Linked DNA regions of Arabidopsis thaliana. The protein of the gene in region 1 interacts with the protein of each later gene in a pairwise test. Each region holds a gene or a part of one and is shown on either strand. Other genes may lie near its edges. The genes, in order: AT3G21400 and AT3G60150.

What was found.
Region 2: the proteins of AT3G21400 (region 1) and AT3G60150 interact in a two-hybrid assay, tested with the Arabidopsis thaliana proteins (one large-scale study listed by BioGRID).

Annotation. Positions count from the first base shown.
Region 1 is NC_003074.8:7,525,374-7,540,927, forward strand, and holds AT3G21400 (dynein beta chain, ciliary protein), read right to left. Parts: upstream 11,151-15,554; 5' UTR 10,921-11,150; coding exon 10,767-10,920; coding exon of another isoform or gene 10,709-10,766; intron 10,628-10,708; coding exon 10,503-10,627; intron 9,739-10,502; coding exon 9,451-9,738; 3' UTR 9,207-9,450; downstream 1-9,206. Other genes in the region: BGLU19 (beta glucosidase 19), read right to left, coding at 97-206, 312-576, 700-787, 905-982, 1,089-1,164, 1,554-1,609, 1,839-1,908, 2,051-2,206; AT3G21371 (uncharacterized protein), read left to right, coding at 2,331-2,537; AT3G21380 (Mannose-binding lectin superfamily protein), read left to right, coding at 3,105-3,263, 3,650-4,111, 4,228-4,734, 4,830-5,084; AT3G21390 (Mitochondrial substrate carrier family protein), read left to right, coding at 6,532-6,729, 6,888-6,998, 7,422-7,533, 7,814-7,941, 8,221-8,373, 8,537-8,689, 8,834-9,052; AT3G21405 (uncharacterized protein), read left to right, coding at 10,709-10,915; AT3G21410 (F-box and associated interaction domains-containing protein), read right to left, coding at 11,346-12,578.
Region 2 is NC_003074.8:22,214,187-22,229,360, forward strand, and holds AT3G60150 (NADH dehydrogenase ubiquinone 1 alpha subcomplex assembly factor-like protein (DUF498/DUF598)), read left to right. Parts: upstream 1-7,785; 5' UTR 7,786-7,965; coding exon 7,966-8,138; intron 8,139-8,236; coding exon 8,237-8,353; coding exon of another isoform or gene 8,354-8,435; exon of another isoform or gene 8,436-8,642; coding exon 8,643-8,677; exon of another isoform or gene 8,678-8,889; intron 8,890-8,890; coding exon 8,891-8,991; intron 8,992-9,077; coding exon 9,078-9,164; 3' UTR 9,165-9,326; downstream 9,327-15,174. Other genes in the region: DIN2 (Glycosyl hydrolase superfamily protein), read left to right, coding at 2,567-2,701, 3,508-3,577, 3,696-3,751, 4,082-4,157, 4,258-4,335, 4,438-4,525, 4,632-5,006, 5,093-5,310 and 4 more; ABCC9 (multidrug resistance-associated protein 9), read right to left, coding at 9,643-9,770, 9,848-10,087, 10,177-10,240, 10,325-10,630, 10,711-10,925, 11,008-11,302, 11,385-11,549, 11,644-12,279 and 3 more.

The DNA.
Region 1 (15,554 bases):
CTAAAGAAAAAGAAAAACACAATGTTGCAATTATGTATATATATAATCAAGAATAACATTAAAATATATCAAGAGTTGATGATTTGTGTTTTTAACCAGCCAATGACGAAATCAAGCACACGGTTTACAGTCGCTTGACCTCCTTCCACATCTTCGGGTTCAAACCAAGCTGGACTATGAGCGATTCCGATTTTACCACCTTTGCACTTTTTCAAAAAACCGAAAAATTAATAAGTAAAACTTTTAAAAAAGTTGGTTTATATGTCACTGTGGAGAAACGAATGTGATTAAATAGGGTATTCTGTTTTTACCTTTTCGCATTTTCGGAAAGCATCAACAGCTTCAGCATGACCCACGAGTAAATTGTGACTGACAACATAAGGTTCGAATCCTGACCGTCCATCTTGACAAAGCTTTCCAAACTCTTTGACGTAAGGAGAACAACGTCCTGGTGCTTTCTTCCCAACGTCGTAGCCCGAACGGCTAAAGACCCATGGCTCGTTGAACGTAATCCAGTTTTTCACTTTGTCCCCATACTCGTGGAACGTGAAGTTTGCATACTCCACAAAATCAGGCCTATATATTCACATTTTAAAGTAAGCAATTATACTTTGATATTACGTATAGTAGAAAAATTACTATTGTACGAAACAACTTAAAAACAATAATCAAATGTGAAGATATGACATGTACACTTACACAATACGTTCGCTTAAAAAGCCACCGTATTCATCTTCCAAATCGGCGGGAGTATCCCAATGAAAAACCGTTACTAATGGTGTTATGTCTGAAAAACAATAATTTAGTGAGAGTTAGTTTTTTGCAGTTACTATATGTTACTACGATAAATAAATAAAAATGTAGATATAATTGTGGATATATAGAGTTAGAGAGAGTCTATGACCATTTTTAAGGAGCTCATCAATAAGATCGTGGTAAAATTGAACTCCTTCTTTGCTTATTCCTTTCTCCATCCTCCCATCTGTTATATTATTCAGTAACCAGCTCTTGTTGGAAACCAATAGTAATTCTAAAATTCTCGTGGCCTATTTTTATTTGTTGAGGAACTCATGAATGGTTTAACTTACGAGGAAATATTCTTGGCCACGAAATAGAAAGTCTAAAACCATCAGTGTTCAGCTTTTTCATCAACTGGATATCCTCCTGTTGATTTAGATAGGCATACGAAACATTAGTTATAAAATTAAGTAATTAACATGACTTCGTAGAGCCCATGAATCTAACGATTCACTATGAAAATTCTAATCGATAAAACTTAATAAAATAAATAACTATAAAAACTGAACCTTATGATGCACTTTATCCTAAGTGTTATATAGTTACCAACTTTTACAAGATTAACTTAGTTCTTTTTTTATTTAACTATTCATCTTGTGTTGTTCCAAATTATTCTTTATACAGTTTTGATAAAATGTTTTCCCGAAATTAATTATCTGGACTACTTCAATCATCTTTTAGTTGTTCGAACTACACGTGAGAAAATGATACTATCAATGATCAAACGTTTAAAAAGAGAATCTAGAAGCTAATACCTTGTAGCGATGGTAGAAATCGACGGCCTCGTCAGCATTGTGATTCTTAACTCTATCTGCAGTTTAAATATAGTACAAAATGTTATTTATTATCACCAGATATCTGGTTCGCTACACAGTTACTTACTATAATACTGGTCGTTAACAACTCTTTATAATACCTCTTGGAATCAAATTCATAATAACACACGAGTGATGAATGCATGTTTTAAAAAAACCGACAACTAATAAGTGGACATATATATGCTTCGTGGTCGAAATAAATAGAAAAGAAAAGAGACAGACGTGGAAATTTCTTGGTGTAGATGTCCCACAGGCTTGGACCTCTGCAACCTTCATTTACTGCACCTTCCACCTATTTTAACCATATAAATACATAAATCATTTTCATTGTTCCATTTCCCAACATATTCTTAGCTTCACCCAATGTTTTGTAAGTGTTTTAATATCACCATTTCTATGGATATTTTATCTATTTTGTATACATATACATGTACCTGAAAGGCTGCGGTTGCGGTACCAAACATAAAGCCCTCCGGAAAACTTGCACGGCTAAGAGTTTCGGTCTTCGGGCAAACAGGTCCTTCTTCAGCCCTTGTCGGAGAGCCGACAAGACTTATTAGTAAAAGTAACCCCAAGAGAGGAATCTTCATTGTTGATTTTTTTTTATAAGCTCACGAGTGTGTTTTTGGTCAAAAAGTTCAAAACAAAGTGGAAGACTATGTTGATTTGAAAGGAGAAATATCGTTATATATTTATAGATATATACATGCATATATGCATGTACGTGACACCGATCAGGTGATGAATTTCAAAGCCCAAATTGTATTTGGAGGCCGCCAAGTGTATTTACACTATTACATGCAGATTGATCAGTTCTTGAAGGCCAAGTGTCTTTTTGTCACTCTCACTATTGCATGCACATTGTCAATTTTCTGTTATAGTCTCCTCGTTTTAAGGCGTGATATTCGCATGTGTTTGTAATATTCGCATGTGTTACACATTATGTGTACGTCAAATAAATCTCACATCTGGATGTTAAGATTGAGTGTACGATTCTGTAGAAGCACAAGTGGATATTGAGACCAAGTGTTTGATATTTGAAGGGTCATAAGCGGATTAGAATTTTAATAAGTGGAACAATTATCATATAGAGTAACGTGTGATCTTTAGATCCACAAGTTTGGGTTTGAGTCAGTCGCTATCTAAATAAGTCTCCATGTCTATATAAAAACGCACTTGCATGCATCAGTCATCACCACACCAACTCTCTCATCTCTTTTTGTCAACAAAAAAAAAACACAGAAGTACGTACGTAGCCTCTCTTTCTTAATGGTTCACTTCATTATTTGCATTTATTATAGCGTTACAAGAAGTTACAACTACAAAAGGAAAACTTAATTCTCTTCACCCTTTTGTATATATTATTTTTCAGTTATCTTACAAGTATAATGAAAATGTTATAAATTTATCTGAAAAATGAAAAATGCATAGCCGTTTTTGTTTTTTTTAATGAAAAGTTTAACAACCGGTAAGATATGATCAGATACAATGGCGGCCGCAACGATGTCTTGGGACGACGGGAAGCACATGAAGGTGAAGAGGGTGCAGATTACATATGAAGATGTTATCAACTCCATAGAGGCTGAATACGACGGAGACACTCATAACCCTCACCATCACGGCACTCCTGGCAAGAAATCTGACGGCGTAAGGGTTTAACAATGTTGTAAAACCTAACTTTTCACATAAAAGATATTTACATGAGTAGCAAAAAAAATAATCTGACGGCGTTAGCTAGTACTCTTCACGACCTTCTCCATATATACTACATCTTTCAATTTATGGATGTTGCAATGGGTTTAGTTTGGTCGGTCTCGGTCTTGTGGTCTTGACTCTTGACGGGTTGCCTTAGTTTGATTAACTGACACTTAATTACTAAATGAAAAGAAAAAATGATGGGTCCTGCTAGGTCTAATAATAGCATATAAAAATGAATTAGGGCTAGGAAAATTTTGGTCTACTATATTTTTGTTTATAATGATTTATTTATTGTATACTTTGATCGAACTAATGTAATATATTTGTTTTTGTAGGTGAGCTTGAGCCCAGACGAGTACATAACAGATGTTACTGGCTACTACAAAACTACAGGGGCTGAAGATGCTATAGCAGCATTGGCTTTTAAGACCAACAAAACTGAATATGGTCCTTACGGAAACAAAACAAGGAACCAATTCTCCATTCATGCTCCTAAAGATAATCAGATAGCTGGTTTCCAAGGAATTAGCAGCAATGTTCTCAACTCTATTGACGTCCACTTTGCTCCCTTACCTTCCTCTTCGTCGTCATCGTCCAGTTTGAGTCAAGCCAACAAAGTTGATGCTCAAGGTGGGAAAGGAGGAACATCATGGGACGATGGTGCTCATGATCATGTAAGACGAGTGTACATTGGACAAGGTGATTCTGGTGTCACTTATGTCAAGTTCGAGTACGAGAAGGACGATAAGAAGGAATCACGCGAACACGGAAAGAAGACCCTTCTAGGAGCAGAAGTGGTGAGTATGTTTAGTTCCTTTCCTATATTATAACTAGAAAGTTCAAATCCGTTGTACTTTAGTTATATTATGACCGATCTTGCCAAAGAATTAACTTATTTGAAATCTCTGTATAGTTTGAGGTTGATCCAGACGACTACATCACATCAGTGGAAGTGCAATCTGACAGGATATTTGGGCAAGACACGGAAGTTATCACCTCCTTAATCTTCAAAACATCCAAAGGGAAATTCTCACCGCCCTTTGGACTCGAGGGTTCACAGAAATATGAACTCAAGGACAAGAATGGTGGTAAACTCGTTGGGTTCCATGGGCGAGTAGGCGGCGAACTTCTTAATGCTCTGGGAGCTTATTTCGCTCCTTCATCCGGTCGTGGTACCCCTTCAGCCACTCAGCCACCTGGATCAGCTCAACCAACTGGATCAGCTGGTGCTAAGAAACTAGAAGCAAAAGGTGGTAACGTGGGAAATCCATGGGACGATGGTCCTCATGAAGGTGTGAGGAAAGTGTATATAGGTCAGGGTGATTCTGGTGTATCATACGTCAAGTTTGTCTACGACAAGGACTCTAAGGAGGTCCCCGGAAATGATCATGGGAAAAGAACACTACTTGCACCTGAAGAGGTCAAATATGTATACACATAGAAGAACCAGCATATAACCTCATTTCTAAATTATTGTTTCATATTAGATTTTTTTTTTGTTTTTTTTTTTTGCAGTTCCTTCTTGAATATCCAAACGAATATATAACATCGGTGGAGCTTAACTATGACAAAATATTTGGAACTGAAGGTGAAATCATAACGATGCTTAGGTTCACAACGAACAAGCGAACCTCTCCACCTTTTGGACTTGAAGGTGCCAAAAGCGTCCTACTCAAAGAAGACGGCCACAAGATAGTTGGCTTCCATGGCAAAGCGGGTGCTGACATAATTCACCAAGTTGGAGTCCATGTCAAGCCTATTTCCAAGTGAAGTTTGTAATATTTTCTCAAGTCCCGGTCTAATAAAAATGAGCTATCAAAAAATCTCTGTTCTAGAAATTGTCATTGTACTTGTGTAAATGGTAATAAGGTCTTTGACAATATGCTACTTGTGTGTTTGTTTGTGTTTCAATGTCTCCTTATACTGTACTGGATTGGAGTCTGTAACACTGTTTCAACGGTTTCTAAGACGTATATATAAAATCTTGGTTACGTTGATTCATATAATCATATATCTAATTTGCAAAGTGGACAGTTGTGGGTTGTGGCAAACGTGGTTGTGGCGGTCGACGAATCATCCATTGGAGAAGACTAGTGGCATAACACATCACTAATTCTCTCTTTCTTATCCATGGTTATTACTTTCGCTCTACTTTTAAAAACTATATGATCCAAAAGATCATATATGATTTGTTACCCTGCAATTTAATTTGAAAACCTTTTATCTAAAAAAGAGATTTATTTCTTATAATATGATTCTGTTTTGGCATGAAATGGATCAAAATTAAAATAACGCATACAAATTTCATTTTCTTATTATTGAAAATTAATGGATAAGAATCTTCATAAATTTTAAATAATTTCATTTTATAATATTTATAAAAAAATATTCTAATGGTTTGATGCATAATGGATTAAAATATTCCATTTATCCTATTTTATAAAATTGGTTAAAATCATATATTAAGAAATAAGAAATATTTTTCATTTATGAATATTCAGTCAATAAAAGAAAAAGAATACTGCCCAATTCATCATAAACTATTAAATTAACATAAATTATGTATAAAACTAGAGAAAACCTTATGAAATAGAATAAAAATAAAAGCCTAAAACATCTTATATATTATAAAAGCCTTAAGTATAAAGCTAAAGAGAAACTGCAAATTTGAGGTCAATACTTTTACAACCTTTTTGTGTAGAACCACAAATTTTAAAGTTTTTGTTTTTATAGTGTTATTGCTTTCTTATTAGACCTTTTTTTTTCTTTGTTACGGATTGTTCTTCTTCTTCAGAGCACACAAGCTCTGAGATCCCATCAATAAATGGCGGTAACAGAGTCCTCTGTTTATTTACTCTAACAAGTCCTTTAAGGTTTTAATAACCCAGTTTCATGGGGGTTACTTCCTTGTATCTAGCCCTGTACGTTCCTCTTCTTTCATTTACTTATCTAATCACGACGAACACTTTCCCCAATTTCCCAAAAATCTCATCTTTTACAATCGATTTCTCTACATTGTAATTCTTCCACATAGTTTCTCTGGATAGTTTCATTAAAGTTTGAGTTTTTATTGTTTTTCAATTAGTTTATCTGTGACATTTATTCTTCTTGCGAGCAACATCGACTGATTCTTACCTGTATGTTTCGATTTCACATAGACACACGAGAGAACGCTAATTTCTAGTCCTCTGTTTTCGTGGATCAGTCTGTTTTTTCTATGCAATTGTGTGTTCTTGATGTTGTTGACACAATGATTTCAGGTTATAGCAAGGAGCTCGTGATCATGAGTGGTACAGAGTTAGATGAGCCTGGAAAGTTAAAACGTGCTGTCATTGATGCTTCTGCTGGTGGTGTTGCTGGTGCGATTTCACGTATGGTTACCTCTCCCCTTGATGTTATCAAGATTAGATTTCAGGTAAGTAAAGAGTCCTAGTTCATTGGTTTTTGTGGATTTGGATTATGCACATATGTGTTTGTGACTCAAGAAAATTTCTTGGCATGTTAAACATCTTTGCTTTGAGAAAGTAAGAGCAAAAGGAATGGTTATTGAAGTGAAAGTATTGAAATTTTCAGGTTCAGTTGGAGCCTACAGCTACATGGGCTCTGAAAGATTCTCAGCTGAAACCGAAGTACAATGGTTTGTTTCGAACAACGAAGGATATCTTTAGAGAGGAAGGTTTATCGGTAAGTCGTTGCCTAGATAATGTTCTTTTGAAGGTGTTAACTGTTGTATTTTGTTATGCTGAGTCATTTACCAATGTTGTCATCGATGCAAAGTGTTCACACCAATTCTTTTCTTGGCAAATGATTTTTCATCATCTCTAATGGTAAGCTTAGTTTTGTTGAGTTGGAATGTGAAGTGTTATAAATATCTTGATTACGATGCAGCCTCGTTGATTTAGACTTGTCTGATGTTTGAGAATCTCCACGGTTATGATACATGATATTCAACTGCAGATTTTGAGCACTCATAGATAGCCTTTTTCTCTCTACAATTTTGTGGACACTGATAACTCAATGAATGACCTTATTCTAGACTGCTTTAGGAATTGATTTCTTATGGCTAATAGACACTTTCTGAATTTTAAATCAAGTTGCTTATGGCAGGGTTTCTGGCGTGGAAATGTTCCAGCTTTACTTATGGTTGTGCCTTATACATCCATACAATTTGCAGTCTTACATAAGGTGAAGTCTTTTGCCGCTGGTTCATCAAAGGCCGGTACATCACTAACTTTGAATAAATCTGTTAGTGACATGTATTATATATCCAAGGTGTGATCTGTACACTTTAAAACGCTTAGGTTCATGTAAATTTAACTCCTTTAAATGAGCTGTTTATGGCGACATGACTTGGCTTTATATAATTCATCTACATATCAAACCCCTTGAAAATTACACAAACCACAAAAGAGAGAACATTCCACAATGTTTCAGAAAGTTAAAAGATAGATTTTAGCATGTTGTTTTTGACAGGAATTCTGAATTCTGATCTTCTGCAGAAAATCATGCTCAACTGAGCCCTTATCTTTCTTACATCAGTGGGGCACTAGCAGGGTGTGCAGCAACAGTTGGATCGTATCCGTTTGACCTATTGCGGACTGTATTGGCGTCCCAGGGTGAGCCAAAGGTACAATATTTCTTCAGTAAAAGAATGTGATGACATAGTTATGGGTTCTCTGTAACGTTTACTCCTGTAAAATCAACAATATAGTTTGAGAAAGAAAGGAAAAGGATAAAGTTTTGAGAATGCGTTGACATAAATAAAGTCATTTTTTGAGAAAGCGTGAAACCCATCTATGGAGTTCTCTGATATTCATAGAAATTTTTATTATTTCACTGATGTCTTAGTTAACCATGAATTTATTATCAGCTATTGACGATTGATATATCGAAATTTTTGGGTTAGGTGTATCCAAATATGAGGTCAGCATTTCTGAGTATAGTGCAAACTCGTGGAATCAAAGGGTTGTATGCAGGATTGTCCCCTACTCTGATCGAGATCATTCCTTATGCTGGTCTGCAGTTTGGCACCTATGACACATTTAAACGCTGGAGTATGGTAAGCTATAGCTTCATGAATGTTCTCAATTTTTTTTTCCTTTGGAATATATAACATAGATACACACCATTGCCTCCACCACAACTTTGTGTTCTAAGCAGCAGATTATCTTGAAGCGGTATCTGGAGTTCTCATCTCACTGTTGGTATACATTTTGCGCTAGGTATATAATAAGCGATACCGATCTTCTTCATCAAGCTCAACGAATCCAAGTGATAGTCTTTCTAGCTTTCAGCTTTTCCTTTGCGGTTTAGCTTCGGGCACTGTTTCTAAACTAGTCTGTCATCCGCTTGATGTTGTCAAGAAAAGATTCCAGGTTAGTTTTTTGCCATCTTGTGTTTTAGCTATGTGTTCTTAATGTTTTACCACCGAAGTCCATGTTACCAGAAGCCTAAAGTGATTTTACAAAGCATTTTAGATCAAACATCAAGGTTTGATACAAGAATGTTTGTCGCTGCAGGTCGAAGGTCTGCAACGTCACCCAAAATATGGAGCCCGAGTAGAGCTGAATGCTTACAAGAACATGTTTGACGGTTTAGGGCAGATATTAAGATCTGAAGGTTGGCACGGGCTTTATAAAGGCATTGTTCCATCAACCATTAAAGCTGCACCTGCTGGTGCTGTAACATTTGTGGCCTATGAACTTGCATCCGATTGGTTTGAGGCAAATTTGACCTGAACTTGTAAAATTCTTCAATTCTATTTGTAAATCTTATTCTATTTTGCTTTTGAGTAATAAGTAATATAAGATTCCATCCTTCTCTGAACAGAGACCAATAATGCAAACTCTTTCTTACTAGGAACGGTAGATTTTCACTAAATCTATTCATTCATATCAGCAAAGTGTGTTACTGCTGCAGTTTTCAAAAAGAATCATGGCTTGGTTGAAAAAAGCTTTGTATTCTTAGCTACACAGTTTTACATTATTGCTCAGCGAAAACTAAAATTTAAAGTCAATGTCATCTTTGGTTCTGTGTTACTCATCGAGGCACAAAACTTTCTAAAAACTGGCAAGGACAAAAGAAACCAACCAGTTCTGATTACTTCTGAATATGAACGAACAGAGCCTTTACTTTTTTATTCATATTGTTTCTTCTGCTTATCAGTAATCTCTTGAGGTAAAGACAGGAACTGAGTGATCTTCTGAACCTGAGAGACATCAATCCGGTATTTTTCAGCTATCTCGTTAACACCCATTGGACCATGGTGATCCTGAGATTTTCCCTGAAAGAGAAGCATGATGTGTCGCACTTGTGCTACGTTCAACGTTCCTTGAGGCACCGGGTTTTCCTCATATCTTGTTGATTCAGGAGTTGTGTTCCGGAGCTTTGGGAGTGGCCTTTTCGATGTCTCAACTACTGATGCCTATATAAATCACAAGTCTTATCAGTTTAGTCAGATAGATATATGTCTTCATGGATTTATACACAGGAAAGACCAAAACCCGCAACTATATGGCCCTTTTGCATTATCTACATTTCTACATTTCATCTCTTATCCTAAACTTAATTTACACCATCAATCACTGTCAGCTTTAAGATTACCAGCAGAAGAATGAGACAAAATCTGTTCACTTCTTAGTTATGCTAACTATTTCATTGGTGTGACACAAAACGCTATCAAAGGTTTTCTAATCTGGTTACGCTACATTAAACAGTTACTCTAAAATGTGAACTTGTTCAGTCCAATATAAAATTCTAGATTGTTGCCAGAGACTCTGGGGCAAAAACCTTAACATATATTCCAGAGCAGAATTAGAAAGCAACCCAGCATTGTTCATGAAACCTTTTGAACCCATCTTATCTCTAATACCTTAAAATCAACCAGTAACGAAACCTTTTGAACCCATCTTATCTCTAATACCTTAAAATCAACCAGTAACGAAACCTTTACATGACTAATGACAAAAACTCCACAAGATGTGACTAAGAGGCAAGACAAAGGGTTCATATACCATTCTCAACAGCTACATAACTAAGATAAGCACCAACTATCAATGCAGGTAATCAGGTGGATCTATATTAAACATCCAAAAGTCACATACTTGTCCTGATGAGAGGACGAGAATCGAATCAATGCATCAAATCAAACAAGAGATAAACAAAGCTTAAGGAAACAACACTACAAACCTCTCCCATCTCAGCTTTGCCTCCAGGTTTAGCTTTTATTCTCCCAACCATTTGGTTCAACATTGTATCATACTTGGGGTCTCGTTCCTCTAAAACATTATCCTCACTGGTTCTTCGACCTTTATCTAACAACAGATACATACCCAAATTCAGATCAAAAACGAACAAAAATTTGGAAACGGTTAAGAAGCAGCCCATCAATCTAAATGTTTATAACGGTGAAAACTTTCGAATACCCAAATGCGAGAGATTTAGGGTTTATACCAGAAACTCCATCAACGGCGGCAGTAGACGGAGACGATTTCACGGCACTGAGCTCCTCCGTAGGAAGCGATCTCCGATCAATGGAGACTCTTGATGGTGATGATCTCTCAACTTCTTTGATTTTCCCAACAGCTCGACGCAATTGCTGACCCATCACCGCAAAAACACACACTCTCTTTCAGAAACAGAAAGAGTCCAATGGATTACGAAAAGAATCGAAATTTGTAGGTATTTTTCTGCTGCATCCGATGATTACAATGGGGGAGAATTCGAATTGGAATCAAAGGGTAGTGGAAGTAGCTTCATCAGCTGTGTTCTTCTTCATGTATTGAATGGGGCAGAGAGAAGAAGAACGTGTTCGTGTTGAAAGAGTTACACGCGCTCGCTTTGAGAGCTTGAAATAAGTGAATAATATTAAGTCAGTACTACGTCGTTTTGAATTACCAGATAGTACTATGTTGTTAACACATGGACCAAAAATCAAAACATTTCTTGAACTTTCGAACCGGAGGATCATAACATAGATTACATGACCTTTCACATGACTAATTAACAAAACGTTGAAAAAACTTTAAACTTTTATTCTGGTGTATTATCCTCCGATGATGGAACCGGAACAAGACTTGGAAGATATGTATAGCCGGAGATAAAAGGCCAACTAAAACCTAGTTGGTGTTGTTCTATCTCATCTTGGCTTTTGATCTCATCCTCTCCAATAACGTAGATGTTGACGGCTACGTTTCTTTTATCTGCCAATACTTCCTCACAACATACTACGATCCTATTATTCTTATCAATGAAATGCACCGGATAAGAAAGATTCTCAAAAGCCAGCAATACCGGGAGATCAGGTCTTGTCACACTAAATAACTTGGTCCATAAGATACTCACTCCGTTCTTAACCTTGTTAGTAACCCATACATCGATCTTTGATGTTTCTTTGCTTTGGTGTAACAAAGAAAGATTGTCTCCTTTGAAAGCTGATAAAGCTACAACATTATGTACATCATACCTAACGGGAAGAGAGCACAAGGGCTCAAATGTCTCTGTAGAGAAGTTAAAGCTTTGGATGAAGATGTCGGGTTTACGGTTCCATTTAGCAATCCAATACATGTTTCCTTTGAGTGACAAACCTTTACAACGCAAAACCACATGCCAATCCAAAGAAACTTTAAAAGTTTTCCAAGAATTAGACTTTAATTCATAAATATCAACCTCTGGTTTGTAAGAGCCCGTATTTGCATACTCGTTTTTGGTAAAAACACCGTTTACGAACCTCAAGATTTTGTAGCTATCCCGAGATAAACCGTCATATCCAATGCCGTAGCAACTACAACCCCGGAAAGAAGGATTCAGGAGAAAGATCCATCTAACCTGGTTCAAACATGGGTTCCAAACTGCCATTGAACCTGTTTCGAAAATGCATAACAATAACCCGTCGCAGGGAACCATAGTATAAATCTCACCTTTCACTTGAAACTTGTTAGGAAGTGAAAAAGATGAGCAAGCTCCAACTACCGGGTTGATGATCTTAACCATTTGATTGGTCCTTATGATATGTTCCCGAACAAGAGCTAAGTGCTTGTAAATGAATCTCTTGTCGTTGAAAAGAGCGAGCCATCGTTTGCACGTCAACTTGAGTCGTAAAAGAGATTTAGTTGGAACCCTACAAAGTATTTCTTCAAATAACTCAAAAGGCAACAATGAACATTCTTTGGAATCCATGGCCATGGAGAGGTATGGCTTCTGGATCTTTGTGAATAGATTTATGCATGAAGCTATATATAATTTAACATGTTGGAACCACGCCATCTTATAAAGATTGTTTTAAAAGAGAATCTGATTCAAATATTTGGAAATAAAGATGGTGTGGCGTGGATCAACATTTGTCAACTTAATTATCTAATTTTACAAAACTAAAATAGATGGATAAAGCAATTAAAGTAAGTAAAATAAAGAAAAAATCTGAAATATATATTTTCCCTCAAAAGTTCCAGTCAATTTCCTATTGTTCCCTATGAGATTTTATTCCATATAAACTAATATTAGCATTTGGTGAACTATAAATATGATTTGTTAAGATATTCTTAAATCAAAACTTTTTAAAAACTATATTATTATATAGTTATAGCAAAAGATTGCGTGGACCAGCATTCCAACTTGTCTAGTTAAGAAAACTTAAATATATATATATATATACCAATTAAAGCAAAATGAATTAGATTTTGTAATATATATATACCAATTAAAGCAAAATGAATTAGATTTTGTAATATATATATATTCCCATAAAAGCTCCGGTCAAATTTCCTAGCGTTCAAATAAATTTTATTTTAATCTTTCATTTAACATAGTTATTTTGTGTTGCCCACAATAAGATGCCCCAAAAAGCCCAAATGAAACTAGTCAATAAGATACACCAAAAGGAAGAAGCCCAACACTAAGGCCATGATTGAAACAACTAAAACTTGAATGAGTTAGCTTCCAATTTAAGGAGATGATGCGAATATCGTTGAAGAAGAGATATTACTACTTGTAGTTCATTTCCACTGATCGCAAGCCAAAAAAGTAGTTAGGTTCTGGTGGTGAGGAAAAGTGTAAAAATGATAAATAAGATTGAGAGGTTCTGCTTAGTTTAATTAAAGTAGCATTTCCAAAATACTTTTTTTTTGCTCGAGTCAGTAGTAATAGTCTTTTGTGTTTTCTTCATTAGACATAATCATGATACCAAACCAAACACATTCCTCTTTCTTCGGAATAACTATTATTTTCTATTTTATTTTTGTTTTTTTCTCCTCCCACAGATTGTAACCTTTATCGTCAAGTTGTAATTAAAAAGATTCCTCTAAACAATTCGTCAAAAAGCTGAAAAGATTCCTCTAAAAAAAATTTCACTACACTTCTAGATTGTCTTTAGACTAGTACAATCTCCTGTGTTGACCTAAATGCACAATAGATTGTTAATTTAAAATGAAGAAATGCGAAAACATTTTTAATCTAAGTTTGTGGTTGGTGAGTCGAATGTTATGAATAAAACTCATGACTTTTATGTTAAATACGTATGAAAATTACTATGAAGAAAAGTAACAAGAAAAATAGTGAAAAGAAAGAAAAAGAGAAGAAGGCACAATGTGGGAAGGAAGTGCGACGAGAAGATCACTAGATTTGGTCGGCACATCACTTTCTCTCTTAAACTCATAAACACAAAGCATGGCCCCTACCTTAACGTACCCACTTTCTTCTTTTCAACCCCACAATTTCTAATATCCTCAAGCTCACCCTCTCCACATTTAGTGTGCTCTTTTTCTTTTTCTTGTTCTTTTACAAATAAATAAATAAATTATTCTAATTTATTTTGTACTTTTGTTCCCCATTGGATTGCAAGTCTACTTAGATCTTCAATCTTCGTGGTCGAGAGGTTGAGAGAGAGAGAGAGACGTACAAGTTTCAAGTATGAGTAAAGACTTCCAAATTAAGACATTGGTTTGCAAGTTGAAATTCAGTCACCACTACTTCATCATATACTTTTTGTAACCCTTCTCTTTCAATACACGTATATACTTGATCAGTCTGTTCTCATCAAAATATATACATTGATTACAAAAATAATTTCAATTGATGTGTTAATTTTTAGATATATTGGCCTTAATCGAACATGAAAAATGGACACTTTGAATACAGCCAAAGTTGTGTGTTGGTAATTGTAAGGAAACATCGATAGTGATTAACACTACCCTAAGACCGTTGAAAGAAATCAAAAGAATGAACCCTCTTTGAAAAATTTAGGAGACACTTTAGAGAACTTATGAATAGTTTAAAAAAAAAAAAACTCTATTATTCATTTGGTTCTACTTGTTCAACTTGGTTAAAAATGGAGGAAAGATGAACTATGTATAGAATCCAAAACTACAAAATATCTAACAATATTTATCCTAATCTAGAAAACATTCAACCATAATATCTAGATTTTTCTCTGCAAATATATCTAGATTTTTCGACATGTATATCAAGATAATCAAAGAATAGGATTCTTAAAACACTTAAAGAGGTGATGATATTTTATGATGTTTCTAGAGAAGCTCTAGAATTTGAATTTGGTCCAATAAAGGATAATCGGATAATGAACCAATAATTAAGTTTGACTCAAAAATTAATTCAGTTTCAGTAACACTATTTGTTGTGGTCTTGTGGACACAAACAATGAGATCTATACAACTATGGGTGATATGAATCCCAAGTAACAAATAAAAAGGGCAATGAACTGATAGTGATTTGAGTTGAAAATTCATAAAAGTTAATATGGTGATAGAAGTTAAACATACATTGGCCTTTACCGACTAACTCGAACTGAAATCAATCTAACAAAAAATAGGTTCGATTGATTCGATTGGAATTTTGTCAAGAATAAGAACCATTATCTTGAATTTGTGTGTTAGCAATGCTACATCAAGAGTAAGATAGAAATTAGAGACTATGGATTCGAGTTAGATGTCAATAAACCTTAACAATATGGATTTTTTTCTCCGATTAATCTAACTAATTGGCACGTTAGGTGAATTTCAACTATAATTGGTCTCCGTTTGCTTTTGGGAAAGAGAGAAAAAAAAAAAAAAAAAAAAGGCAAACTTTAGGAAAACTGAATTTTCAAGAAACTTGACTTTTAATTTGTAAGCATTGTCTCGTTTCGTATACCGACCGTCAATAAAGTGTAACTTAACGAATCTCTTTTTGCTGGATTTTCCTAAAACACTGATCCTATGACACTCTTACATATTATTTTATCTTTTA
Region 2 (15,174 bases), about 15 Mb from region 1:
AAAGCCACTCAAAAATATCATATACTAATTCGTCAGCTAAAACAAGAAATTTCATACGCAGAAATTTGTGTTGAAAATACCATAGTTCAAATGTTTAATAAAAATATGTAAAATTAGTTTGATTGTTTTGACTTTTTCGCGTCTAATTAGTTTGATTGATTTGATTGCTTCTGTTCCCAGTACATGCAATATAGTGATATATTAGAGGTAAAACATCCGTGTTGACAACAGATTAAAAAAAAAAAAGTAAGACAGTGCATAGTTCAATTTCTAGTAGTTGTTCTCATCTTGTTTTTGGCAACTGGACGTGTCATAAAATTTGTTTCTTAAACATGAATTGTATTTTCGTAGGGAAATTAATTCAACGTTTAGTGAAAAGAATCAAAATCAATCCAGAACTAGTATAATACATTTTTCTAAAACTATTATGATTTTTTTATAAAAAACATTTTTTTAATAGCATAAAGTTTTTGGCCAAAGCCCATAATCCTTTTAGATCTGAAATCATAGCATGTAATATTAGTTTTGTCCCAAACGTTAAACCGGTGACCTTTAAACTTTGCTTAAGATCTTTTACCAATTGAGCTAATAATACTCGATTAAAAAGATATTTTTTGACTTTCTCACGAAGGATATTTTTCCTTTTCATATAAATGATAAGTTCTTTTGTATTAATCTTTTTGTTTCCTGCATTATTTTTTTCGTTTTCGTTGTTAGACATTGTTTCGTTCTTGAAAATGATAGTAGGTAACAAATGAAAAAAATAAAAAATACACCTTTTCTCCTAATTTCTTATATGTTTTATTAAATTTTATTATTAAATCATAAATATAGAAATGTATAATTTACTAAAAGGGAGGGACAAGACAAAAAAAAGAAGAAGAAGAATATATAAGCCCATCTCCTTGTGTTGGAAAATTAGTTGCTCCTTTACAATATACAATTTCTTAATAGGAAAACATGTCACTGCCAGTTGATTGTTCTCATCTCTTTTTTTCCTTAGTGGAATCCGATAAGGACAATTGCTCATATCTGTTTTTTTTTTTTTAATTGAAGATGTACATTTTCTCTTCTCTGATTATCTTCCATACAAAATCTGCACTCAGTAAAAAGAAATTATGTATTGCTGTTTTAATACCACTAGATGATCACCCGTACTACGCCGCAGTTTTTTTGGATTATTTTATATTATTTAATTTAAATTTAATTTTTATTTGTCTAATCATTCACTCATACAATAAGCAATTACTTTAGTATTAAAAATATTTTTTTCTAACAATATTCTCAACAATGCATCATACATATAATTCATAAACAACATTTATCTTAAATTAATTTAACAGAGGGTAGTATTGGATTCTAGAAACCTAAGAATATGATGATAAAGCTCCTTACGTATTCTTCAGCGTCAGTGATTTATTCTATAAATATCATAAGAGAATATAAATATCAATTTAAGAGAATAACTTACTCAAATCATTAAGTAATCTACGACTATTATACATTCATACTTTGAATTTGGATTACAAAAAAAAATCTTCGAGTATGAGAAAACTATTAAAATAGTTTTATTGAAAAATCATATAAAATAAAAATAAATTTAGTAATAGTATAATTAAATATGTAAAATAAAATTAAATAAGAAATATATCATTAACCTATAAATTAGAAGTTGAAGAGCTTACATTAATTATTTAATAGACACATGTCAAATGCTAAAGTGATGATGTGTCAATCATATGAAGAGAGTTGGCCAACTTTCATATATATGATTCTTAGTTTCGTACCAATTAGTTTCTCAATTCAGTGCATGTGTAGTCAAATGTCCAAAAGATTGTTTCTAAGCAATTAAAATCTTATCAAAACTTCATTGCCCAAAATATTACGAAAGCTTGTTTCTGTGTATGATATACCCGGTAAAATTAAAATGATCATTATACAGAACAAATCAGCATGATTTTCGGATAAAGATGACACACATTTGAAATCGTAGCCGTACTACGCGAAATACATGCACTCTTCGTTATGTTAACACTTTAACAGTGAACGTAGCCATAATGTTGACCACATTCAACAGTCAACACAAACATTACTTTACACACAAATATATGATTATATATACATATGTACATGTAAGTGAATGTGAGCAATAATGACGGGAATATTCAGAGAAGACGATGGTGAATGTTAGCAGTGATCACGGGCACATTCAAAACTGACTGTGGACAAAAAAAGCTCCTGGCCTTAAATATGATTGTGCCAAAAATAGTACAAAACTAAGAACCCAAAATGGAATTCGAGACCTATATAATAATATATATGTATATAGTCTTTCCTTGGAAAGAAATCTTATGTTATTAAGAAAAATACTATAAGTTATCTCTCTATCTAGATATGATATATATGTCCAAACATTTCCACGTAGATGACGTATATTACCGAGGATAATCCTCTATATAAGGAAGAGAAGCTCGAGTAATAAATCTCATCACTTTGAAATCTCAAAAGACACCAAGCAAAAAAACAAAGACAGACAAAAAAAAAAGAGAGAGAGAGAGAGAGAAAAATGGCTAAGGGATCGTGGTTCTTCATTATCCTTTTTATCATCTCAATGTTAGAAAATATGATCAATTCTCTAGAATTAGATCGGCATAGTTTTCCTGATGATTTCATCTTTGGGACAGCTGCCTCGGCGTTTCAGGTAATTTCTTTGATTTGTAATATGTAAAATAGCAAAATAGCTTTGTGATTCTACAATTTTTATTAGTCACAGAGTTAAAATCATTATTTAAATTCAATTATTCTGTTGTTTTCTTTTGATTATGTTACTTTGAATGTTGAAACAATCATGAAACTCTGCAATATCACTCTTTTTTTTGGGATCAAATTCACAATTAAATTAAAAAAATAATTTGCTTAATAATCTTATCTTCATTATGCATTCATATTTTTTTTTTCTAAAATACAATTTTACCATTTTGCAGTATTATGGTCATATTATATAAGTCATAGTAGAATAAAATAACTAGTTCAGAAATTAACTGTTGAAAAGTTATTTAATTTACGTTTAAAAATGTTGCAAAAGAATTTTCATGTGGATCCTCTTGTCTAATATCCACTTCTTTTTTTGCTTGCGGGTTCTCACTTAGGTGTTTTTAAACAGTTTTAATTACAAAACATGCTCTCTTTTTTTTTCTTGAAAACAAAAAAAGTGAGCCGTAAACTTAAACACATCTGGGCAGCTGGACTTCAAAGTGGAAAAGGCTGCTCGACTTTCAATTTAATTAACTAGGAGAAAATATCAAATACTATATTATTTGCTGACGTCTACAGATGCTAACGTTCCTTTTTTCATTTCCCCCTCAAATGTTCTCTTCTTGTCATATAAAGTTGCTTGCATCATCATAATAAAACTGTAATGTTTTGATTTGGGGACAAAAAGAATATCTGCTTTACAAATTAGCTCTGCGATCAAAATATGTTTTTAAAAAGTATATATTTATGCAGTACGAAGGTGCAACAAGTGAAGGTGGCAAGTCTCCAACTATATGGGATCACTTCAGCCTCACGTATCCAGGTCTGTCCGATTACAAAAATCAACGGACCGATTTTATTGACACTTCTATACCAACAAAACCATATTTGTGAGATGTGACTAAAAACTGATGGTTATTTTATTAATTCTTTGACTGCAGAAAGGACCAAAATGCATAATGCAGATGTAGCAATTGATTTTTATCATCGTTACAAGGTACTATCCAATATTTATAATCAAGCTATTTACTTAAATCATACATGTTTATAATTAATCTTATTATCAAAAGAAAAAAAAAAGCAAAAAATCAAATTTTCTTTGTAAATGAGTTATATCAAAAATCAGGTTATCTCTAAATTTTGTAAATAAAACATCAAATTTAAAACAACTTTCGAAATAAGTCAATTTACTTTCTTGAAAAGTTGGTGCACTGAACCTGGAGTCTTGGACTTATATATAGATGTCATTTTTGTTTTGGTTATCAAGATTTTTATTTATTTATCTTTTGATTAACGAATCCTTTTTAATCCGACAAAAATAAAACAGGATGACATAAAATTGATGAAGGAGCTAAACATGGACGCTTTCCGATTTTCAATCTCGTGGTCAAGATTAATACCCAGTAAGTTTTTTTACTCTCTCTCTCTTTTTGTTGATTTTTTTTTTTTTATTAACACTTATTTATACGAATTCGTTATGTGGTGAATTTTTAATTACTATAGGTGGAAAGCTAAAGGATGGAGTAAACAAAGAAGGTGTACAATTCTACAAGGATCTCATAGACGAACTTCTTGCTAATGGTAAGATTATTAATTCATTAGTTAAGTTAAAGTTCTCTAATTAAATTAAAGGTGCGGTTATAACTCAAATAATCAAAATAAAATCATACTAATTACATGCAGACATACAACCTTCGATGACGCTCTATCATTGGGACCACCCACAATCTTTGGAGGACGAATATGGTGGCTTTCTAAGCCCTAAAATCGTGTAAGCCAAATTAACACATATATAATATTTCAAACGCAAAAAAGTTTTGTTATTGTATACATTAATATACTGTTGTTAATTTATTTTTTACTTTTTTTGAAAACAGAGAAGATTTTCGAGATTTTGCAAGAATTTGTTTTGAAGAGTTTGGAGATAAAGTTAAGATGTGGACAACAATCAACGAACCTTATATAATGACTGTTGCGGGTTATGATCAAGGTAACAAGGCGGCTGGACGATGCTCAAAATGGGTAAACGAAAAGTGTCAGGCTGGAGATTCGAGTACCGAGCCTTACATTGTTTCACATCACACTCTTCTTGCCCATGCCGCTGCAGTGGAAGAATTTCGAAAATGTGAAAAAACTTCGCATGATGGCCAAATTGGGATAGTACTATCACCAAGATGGTTCGAGCCTTATCATTCCGATTCAACTGACGATAAAGAAGCAGCTGAACGAGCTCTTGCCTTTGAAATTGGATGGTAAGTTATATAAGCAAAAAAATTTAACGATTTTGCTTCTCATCATATTTATTTGTAATCTTGATATTCATTCTATATGTGTATAGGCATCTTGATCCAGTCATTCACGGAGATTATCCAGAGATTGTAAAAAAGTACGCGGGAAATAAATTACCTTCATTTACTGTTGAACAATCAAAGATGTTACAAAATTCATCAGATTTCGTTGGAATTAATTACTACACGGCTCGCTTCGCTGCTCATCTTCCTCACATAGACCCTGAAAAACCTCGTTTCAAAACTGACCACCATGTGGAATGGAAACGTAAGTAATGCTAATTAATTACTAAAGATTGATCCATACGCATATATATAAATTAAGCTTACATGGTAAAACTAAACAAGATTTATAAATTGTTTTGGAACAGTGACTAATCACAGTGGTCACATCATCGGACCTGGGGTACGTATTTACGTCTTTTTTTCATAACTATCAATTTCAAAAGCTACATGTAATCATTCTAAGATATTTTAAATTTTGTATTATATATCCTCAGGAAGAAAGGGGCTTCTTATTTTCACACCCGGAAGGCTTACGAAAAGTTCTTAACTATATTAAAGAGAGATACAATAACATGCCAGTCTACATCAAAGAAAATGGTCAGAAACTCTTTCCTTTTCTTTTTTTTGCTAAAGCAGAAAGTTTTTTTTTGTTAACTAGAAATTCAGAAAACTTTTTAGTACGTAGTTATTTAACTAAAGATTTTTTTATTTTTTTATTTTTTAACTCTACCACACATTAATAATATCCTAGCAGTGAATTGAAACTGAAGTTTGATTTAAATATATTTCCCTAACCAGTTCAACAAACTGATTTAAAAAAAAAAAAAAATGGTGTGACTATTAATAATTTACGTTGATTACTGAATTACAGGAATTAATGACAACGACGACGGTACAAAACCAAGAGAAGAAATTGTGAAGGACACATTTAGGATTGAATACCATAAGACACATTTCGAAGAACTTCACAAAGCTATAGTGTTAGTTCTTGATCTGTTTCTGGTTTAGTCTCTGATCTTTCTGACAATATTTAATCAAATTCGGTCGAGTTTTTTTTAACTAATAAATTTATGATATGTTTATAGGGAAGATGGGTGTGACGTAAGAGGATATTACGCATGGTCATTGATGGACAATTTTGAATGGGAGCATGGATACACTGCAAGATTTGGTCTATACTATGTTGATTTTGTCAATGGTCTCAAACGTTATCCAAAAGATTCGGTCAAATGGTTTAAGCGGTTCCTTAAGAAATCGGTCGTCGGAGAGAGTAACAAAGAGGAGGTAGAGGAGATGTCACGCGCGGAAGGGAATAAGACTTTTAAGGGTTTCGAAGAATCGGCGGGTTTCTTTGCATCTTTCATGGCAATGAACCAATCGAGGAGAGATGAGGAGAATAATCGTTGCTCCTTTGATTTTCCTCATACTCATTTTGGTGTTTTGCAAGGCATAGAGAACCCATCTTCATTTTATTGATTTCAAATCCCTTATGTTTTTAAATTCCTTATGGTTGGACATGTAGTTAATTAGAATTTAGCTCATGTTAATATATGAACATTTTCATGGTAATATTTTCTTCTTGGAATCTAATGGGTGGCATACTGGCATGATGGGTTCTGGCTTTGTGTGACAATATACATATATTATTTTAAAGCTGTTAATTAATCCGACGCTTCAAATGAGTTCAACAGCCAATTAAAAAATTTCATAATATAAACAATATTATATATCGTTAATCAACATATATATGATTTTTTTTTTTTAAACTAAGTTTATATAAATGTTTATTCGCGGCAAGGCGATGTATATTATAAACTATTCTTAAACTGTTATCTCATGGTTATTTGTTATTTCTTACAACAATATTTTACTTCTTTAACTGTTTTTTTTCTTTTTCTACAGTTTATAATAATATTGGATGAGGATCACCTTCTTTGACATCGTTAACAAATTGTTGATCGCACCACAATCTCTTTCATCACGTCACCAAAAATATGCTGGATCTTTATCTGACAAGTGTCAAATTGTGGCTTTCTTAAACATTTTAGCAGCCAAAAACGACACAATTACATACAGTACCCAGTCAGAGATCAAAACTTGTGCTAGCTTTCTTCTTCGTCAGCAACACTTATCGCTGGCATAAAACATTGGAGCAAAGTCAAAAACGTAACAACCGGTCCGATGTAAAATAAAACTACTATAGTTACACCAGAAAATATCCGAAGCTTATATATAGTTTTCAGGAGATTTTTGTTATCTTTGGTGAAAATAGAGTCAAACTCGGTGTCGCTCCATTTCTCGAAGCAGACTGGTCCCTGAGTCGTGGTGAAGTGTCTCTCGTTCTAAGATGTGGACTCCAGTTTTGTTTTTCTTCTTTTCACTGTAGACCTAGATTGAAGAAAATTAAAAAAAACTCATAACGTTTGGCTTTTGCGTTTTTGTTATTGAAAGATGAATATATTCATTTATATTTTTTATCCCGTAAGATTGCCTTCTGATTTGACGTCATTAATATGAAAAATCTAAACCAAAACAAACCGAATAGTTAAAAATCGATTTAAAATTATGAAATGGTTTTGCATTAGTCAAATTAAACGGTTTTACATTCCTTAAAATTTAGTATCAAACCAATCTACTGTATACATTCGGTTTTAAATTGGTAAACAGAAAATAAATAAAAAACTCTTAACCGAAACGTAAACGGAATAATCAATCTGTTTAGTAAGTAGTGTATCTGACTTACCAAAAAAAGAAAGAAGTAAGTAGTGTATCGGAATGGTTGCAATTAAATAGTGCAAACCGATTTGGATCATTGGTTTCTGGTTAGAAACCGAAACCAATAAACCGCTTTGGTTCAAGAGTCTTCCCTTGGGAACAGTTTAGACTTGAGAGCGCGGAGAAGTTGGAGACGGTGAAGATGGCAGTGAGACAAAAAGCAATGGCGACGTTGCCGAAACTGATTCAAAGCATGAGAAACGAAGTTACGAAGCAGCCCAGTCTTGTCTTACCATCTCTCAGAAGAGCTTTCTCTCTCTACGATCAGATCAATCTCATCGATAACGTTCCTGAGGATCAGCTCCGATTTCAGGAGTATTCATCTCTCTCAGTCATGTTCCTAATTTGACTATGTAGCAAGGGAATTTGGATTTTCGGGTATGAAATGAATCAATTAATGGTGCTTTTTGCAGGTTTGATGAGACGAGTTTCACTGTGAATGGGGTTAAATACGAAGGAAGCTTGCTCTGTGTTGGGAATTTGCTAATGTCATGGAGCCCTCGTTACTTCTCCGACATCACAACGGATAGGTACCAGTACCACCTTCTCCCTTCTCTTCAGCTTACTTATACAGGACTAGAGCTAGAGTTAAGAGATTGCGTAAAGTTATAATCTTTTCATTGTTCATGACCCTCTCTAATGAATGTTTAGTTAAGTCCTTTTCAGCGAAAGTTGAAGTCTGTCTAGTGTGGCCTCTCTTGTACGTACTAGTATCTGTTTGCTGTGTTTGATCTAACTTTGTAATATCTATCTACTCTTTCTACTTTGAAGTTAATGTGTCATTGCTAAACACTTTACATGTCTAATTCATGGATGCAGCTTGTCAATCTTCCAGACGGTTCGACCAATTCCAGGTACTATACATTTTAGCATTTTGTAAGTTGATTTCTTCCACATTCCTTATACAATAGTCTTTGTTCCAGGATCGTTGGAAACTGTATGATACGTTTGCGTACGCCATATTTTTAGTGGCTAAAAAGTAAAAACCTTTTGCACATATTGAAGTGTATCATCAGTGGTTTTTGACTCTCCTTTTTCTGTTTTTTTCTTTTCAAAACAATCTCTAGAGCTCTTGATTGTCGGGTGTGGAAGATACAACCACCCACTGAATCCCCAAGTCCGTCAGTTCGTAAAGTCAATCGGCATGAAGCTAGAAACTGTTGATTCTGTATGTCCTTTGTTCTATTCAAGTATTTGTTCTGTTGGTTTGGAGTATTTTTCTGTGCTTATTGATTAACGCTCTGATCTATCCAGAGAAATGCTGCATCAACTTACAACATACTCAATGAGGAAGGCAGGATCGTGGCTGCTGCATTGCTTCCTTATGGAGTTACATCGTAAGAAACTCAACACCTCTGGAATACTGTAGAACAAACTTCGAACAGCTTGACTCGATCTTTATAGTTGAAACACCAACATGGTCTTCTTGTCTACTGTAAATGATATATTTCACTCTATTTGTAAAACTTTTGCAAAAAAATCGAAATTTACAGGATTACCACCTTGTTACGTAGCTTTAATTTGATTGAGCTTTATCTGAAAAAATAGAAGATATAGATTCCTGCTTTATTCCATTGGTTACATGGATAGTTCTCCAAGAACACACTGAAAACTCAGTATAGAACCTAAAACACAAGTACTGATTAAAATGTTGAACTGAATTTTCTTCGATGCGCCATGCTTCTAACCATGGTGCTCTCTCCATTTCTATGTTCAACTTATGTAGTACTAAATAACTAGTTAGACTTTCAACTTAAGCTTAACTGTGGAATTCATATTTCGTTTTCTCTGCAAAAGATCATCCATCTTTTAGTGGTGTTTAGCTGAGAAGATCATTCGAGCCGGCAAAGTGATTAGATCTCAGCGAATACTCTTTTATGAGTTTGGAGAAGAAAGAATCTTCTCTCTGTAGCAGTTTGGCAGGTGAATCAAACTCTGCGATTCGTCCTGCTCATAGAAAAGTGACTTAGACCTCATAATTATGTGTGTGAATGTATATGAAAACACATGTATATTGTTCTTACCATCACTCAGAACCAGAACAAGATCACTCTCTATCACTGTGTGGATTCTGTGTGCAATAGTCACCACTGTCCGATCTTTAAACTCTTGATTGATGATCTTTTGTATTACACCATCAGTTGCAGAATCAACAGAAGCAGTGGCTTCATCAAGCACCAGAATGTTGCTTTTCTTCAACAACACCCTCCCAAGACAAACTAACTGTCTCTGCCCTACGCTCCAGTTTTCTCCATTTTCAACCACTGTTACATACATTCAAGAATCTTAGTTTTCATTGTCCAAAAAACATTAACTTAAAAACGTTTCCTGATAATGATTTCAGAAACCTCACCTGTAGCATCCAGCCTCTCATCCTTTGCACGAATAACATCTCCCAATTGGCATTTATCAATGGCCTAAGTATCACATTGTATTAGATAGAGTATTTGTCAAAAGTAAATCAAACAAGAACTACAGAGAAAATTTTGCAGGTTTCTTACTTCCCATATTTCGTGATCAGTGTACTGAGCTAGAGGGTCTAGATTCAATCTGATTGTTCCATCAAATAGTGCAGGATCTTGAGGAATAATCCCAAGCCTTGATCTCAGGTCATGTAGACCTATCTTGGTTATATCCACATTATCAATAACTATGGTTCCTTGACTTGGCTCTACAATCCTAAACAATGCCTGAATTAAAGTTGATTTGCCGCTTCCTGTTCTTCCTACTACTCCAATCTTTTTTCCTCCTGGAAACTCACAAGTGATGTTCTTCAAGACAGCTGGGAAATGTTCTGCATAACGGACCTGGAACAAAGACATCTCAGGATTGAGAATCTTGATTACAACTTGTTTCTGAATGTATTGACATCTACTATGTTATTTACCTGTAGGTCTCTGAAGACGATTGATCCTACATTTGGCCAGTTATCAAGAGGTCTGTGACCATCAATTACTAGAGGTGCTTCACTGGGGATTTTGGAGTACTGAAGAATTCTTTCTACAGAAATCATCTTGTTTTCTGCATTGCATATATTCCATATCACTGTGGCTTGTAGAACATTCAGACTTAAGCCATATGTGACCCCAAGACCAGCAATACCTGTAAGGAAAAGTGAAAATGAAGTTTAATTTCTGATCCCATTAGACAATGTATTTTATGGTTTATGATGTATGAGACTTACTTGGATTGATGACACCTTCAGGGAGAGTCACAAGTAACACCAAAGAAAAAGCAAAGACGAAATGAGACAGCAAATTCAACCTGAAGGAAAGCCACTCCATTGCTGATGCAACATGGAACCATGGCCTTGAATGGCTATCTATTAGAACAAGGTTTGAGCTAATGAAGCGATCTCGTTGATCAAAAGCACGTATTGTTGTTGCACCAGCAAGCGATTCAGCGAAATGGTGGAGAATTGGAGCTCTTTCTACTCCTGACATGCGTGACAGTTCTCTTGCTGTTGGTGTGTAATATCTCTAAAGACAACACGAGTAAACAAAAAAGTAAGCAAGATTTGTTGTATCATTGTCAAGAAATTGGATTTGTTTTCTCTCTTGCCTGGTAAAACACGCAGGCTACTGCTACTGGAATGAAGATGACACAAACTTGCCAAGCAACTTGCGACATGACGAAGATGGTTCCAACAATCTGAATGATCGAAAAAGCACACCAACCTAGTTTGACTGCCATTTCCAAATCCAGGACACTTTGATCTGTGGATGCCTATTACAAAACATGAAAAAACCAAAGGTATTTTCAGTCTTGATTATAAAAAACAAAACCATGTTTTTTTGTTGGATTGATTCTGGTACTTCACCCTGTTCAAGATTCTTCCTGTTGGAGTTGAATCGAAAAATGACATTGGAGCTCTGAAAATGCTGCAGAGCATCCTTGAGAAGAACGTCTCTGCTGTTGAAAGTCCACCTATGGCGACTAGAATAGTCCGTGCTAAAACACAAAGTGAACTTCCTGCAGCAAGAAGTGCATAAACAAGTAAAATCCGACCCATTCCTAACTTTGGTATGGATTCAGCAGTTGGAGGAGCAGTCCATGCCATCCAGTAATTGCTAGCAATCTGTAGCATTTGGAAGCAAGACTGAGCCAATATTATGAATGGCACAAGCAATCCGCCTTTCACCGTTGTTAAATATGCCAAGTAAACTTCTTTGCCAATTACTCCTTTCTCTGTTTCTTCATCTTGCACTAGCTTTGCTTCTTTCTTTTTATTCTCTGTTGAAATGTTATGCTCTGAGTCACAATGTGTCTGGAGACTCTCTGCAATTGATGCTGTGTCATCTTTTGATCCCTCTTTGAAGTTTCTGCTTGACTTTTCAATTGATAGAATTGAGTCCAGCGCTTCGTTATGAGCTCCTACAAGAACTTCAAAACCTATGTTTTGCTTTAGAAGCTCTTCAAACTTGCCTGCTTGCATCACTCTTCCGTTTTGCATCACCTAGTATACAAAGTACACACACTAATGTTAATGGAAAAACTAACAGCCTCTTTTGCATTTGCTTATTATCAACGGCTGTTTCTCTTACCAGGATTAGATCTGCTGCTGGAAGAAACTCAACTTGATGTGTGACGTAAAGTACAGTTTTGTCTTTCAGTATCCCCATTAAGCAATCCTGCAAAACAAGTAAAAACAAAACATAGTCAAGTGTGGAGTTTAAAGAGAGAAAGGATCAAACGAACAAATTGTCATGAACATTATTATACTTCAAAGAGTTCTCTTCCTGTATGAGCATCAACGGCGCTAAAAGGATCATCAAGTAGATATATATCAGCATTCTGATAAACCGCTCGAGCAATCTGTATCCTTTGCTTCTGACCTCCACTCATGTTTATCCCTCTCTCTCCAATCTCTGTCAAGTCTCCATTCGAGAAAAGCTCAAAGTCCTTTATCAAAGCACATGCTTTAACAGTTCTCTCATACTTCTCACTTTCATACATACTTCCAAACAAAATGTTATCTCTTATAGTCCCGCTTAGTATCCATGGTGATTGTGGAACATAAGCTTGTTTACCACTGACTCTGACTGTTCCCTTCAGCTTCTGAATCTCCCCTAGGATTGAAGAGAGTAAGCTTGATTTTCCTGATCCTACAGCTCCACAAACCGCCACTTTCATTCCGCTTTTTACTTTCAGTTCGATGTCATCAAGAGTCGGTCTGCTTGACTCAGGTTCCCAACTAAATGCTCCATTTTCTATTTCAACACTTAATTCTGTATGATCCTTTGAGCAATACTCAACTGCATCTTTCTGAGTCTCACTTTGTTGAAGGTAAGAAGCTATTCTATCTGCAGAAACCTTGCTCTGAACAAGTGCTGAGAGGAGATCAGGTAAACCGAAAATCGGACTTTGTAACATTTGAAACGTTGCAAGAGCAGATAAGACTGCTCCAGCTGTTAGCTTCACTCCCATTAACATACAAGTAACAAAAGTCACCACAGAGATCAATGAAGGAGCTCCCCAAAGGATAAAAGTTGTGAAAGCTTGTAACCTCAAAGACTTCCATAAACAATCATACTCTTTCTTTCTTAATGTTTTAACCTTGTTGAGAAACTGGTTATCCCATGCTTGAAGCTTCAGAATCTTCATGTTTTTAAGAATCTCTGAAGTTGCTTTCATTCTATCATCTTTGGCATTCATGATATCTGATTGGTAGTTTCTCTGAAGCCTTGTCAGGGGGTAGTTGCAAGCCATCACCATTAAAGTTGTGACCAATGCAGCTAAAGCTCCAAGTCCCAGATGTTTTTGCAAGATATAAATCGCCGAGAAAATCTGTATTGGTAACATCCATATGTTGTTTACATACCAAATGAAGTCAGTGATTCTCTGAACATCTACACTCATGTAGTTGATGATCTCTCCGCTCGTGTGGCTTTGCCGAGATTGACTTGATAAAACTAAACCTTTCTGGTAGATATGTGATATCAAAGCTGCTCGAAGACGTAGTCCTAGCTGACGAGCTCCAAAGATCCATTGTCTTTGAGTAACTGTCTCGACGATTTTCGCAGTTAGAAACCCGAGTGCAAGAAGGTAACCATGGTTTAAGCTCTGGGATTGTTTCTCACTTAGAAACTCTACAAAGTCATTGATGAGATATGGTCCGATGTAAGCTGTGCTCGCGTTTACAACTGCGAATACCGCGTTGATTGCGGCTTTCCTCCACACATAGCGAAGAACCGAGTTATAGAAGAAAGCATTTCCAGGTCCTTCTTTTTCTTTGGTGGTTTTCAGTTTCTGGTCAAAGGCATGAGAGCAAAATCGAGCGGAGTCTTTCACATCGATATCTGGTACATCATCTTTTTCTAGAGGTCTCTTGTATCCAAGGGAGAACAAAGGGTTGATCCATGAGAAAGTGATGCGTTGGAAGAGAGTAGCGTTTCCATATGGGGAAGAAGAAGAATAAGAATCTTTCTTGTTCTGCTCTGTTTGGTCACCAAGTAGTAATGGCTCTGTGTTACCGCTGGATTCAAGAAGATGAAAACCGGTTTTGCCTCTGATTGAAACAGCCAACAGGAACAAGGATGCAAGAAGACCAGTCAAGTCGGCATAATCTTGAAACTCGAGAGGCTCGTGTTTCGCGGTAATGAAATGAGCATCAAAGGAAAAGGATAAGATGAAACTACAGAGCCACCATGACCTTAACATCCAAGGAAACTTGACAAGCCTCCTTTCTCTGATCTTCACCACAACAACAGAAACAAACAACCACGAGAAAGACTGCGAAACCTCAGCGGAGAAGACAGAAACAGAGGAATCACACCGTGAGACCACGCTGTCTCGAAACAGCAAAAGCAAGATAAAGCAATGAGTCCCTAAGATAGAAACAGAGCAGAGAAGAGATATGTTGTAAGAGAAGCTCTGCTTCACAGTTATGCTCTGCTTCTTCAAGTCTTCTTCTACATCATTAGATCCTCTGTTTCTTACTACACCAAACCATTTAAGTGCCAAATGAATAAGAAAGAAAGCGAGGAAAGTCACTTGCATAGCGATGCTTATACGTTCCTTCAAGCAAAGTGAGTTTCCTAGTTGCAACCATTGCGTCGTCAGGAGATGAGAACCAGTTTCTGCTGCTCATATCAAAGCAAACACAATCAGGTAAAACGAAAAAAAATATCATTTTTTCGAGTGAAAGAGTAACAACTTTACCTGCGAAACCAAAGGGCTTGAACATAGCTTCTTTCTTGGGTTGAGAAGACACGTGTCTTCGTACCGAGAGTCTAAGTGAGAAGCACTAGAGATGATTGGAGACGATGAAGTTTCTGTTTTGTTTTCAGATGGAGTTGCAGGAGCCGGAGAGAGTGTGAGACAAGTTTTGAGTTTATAGAGAAAAGTGATG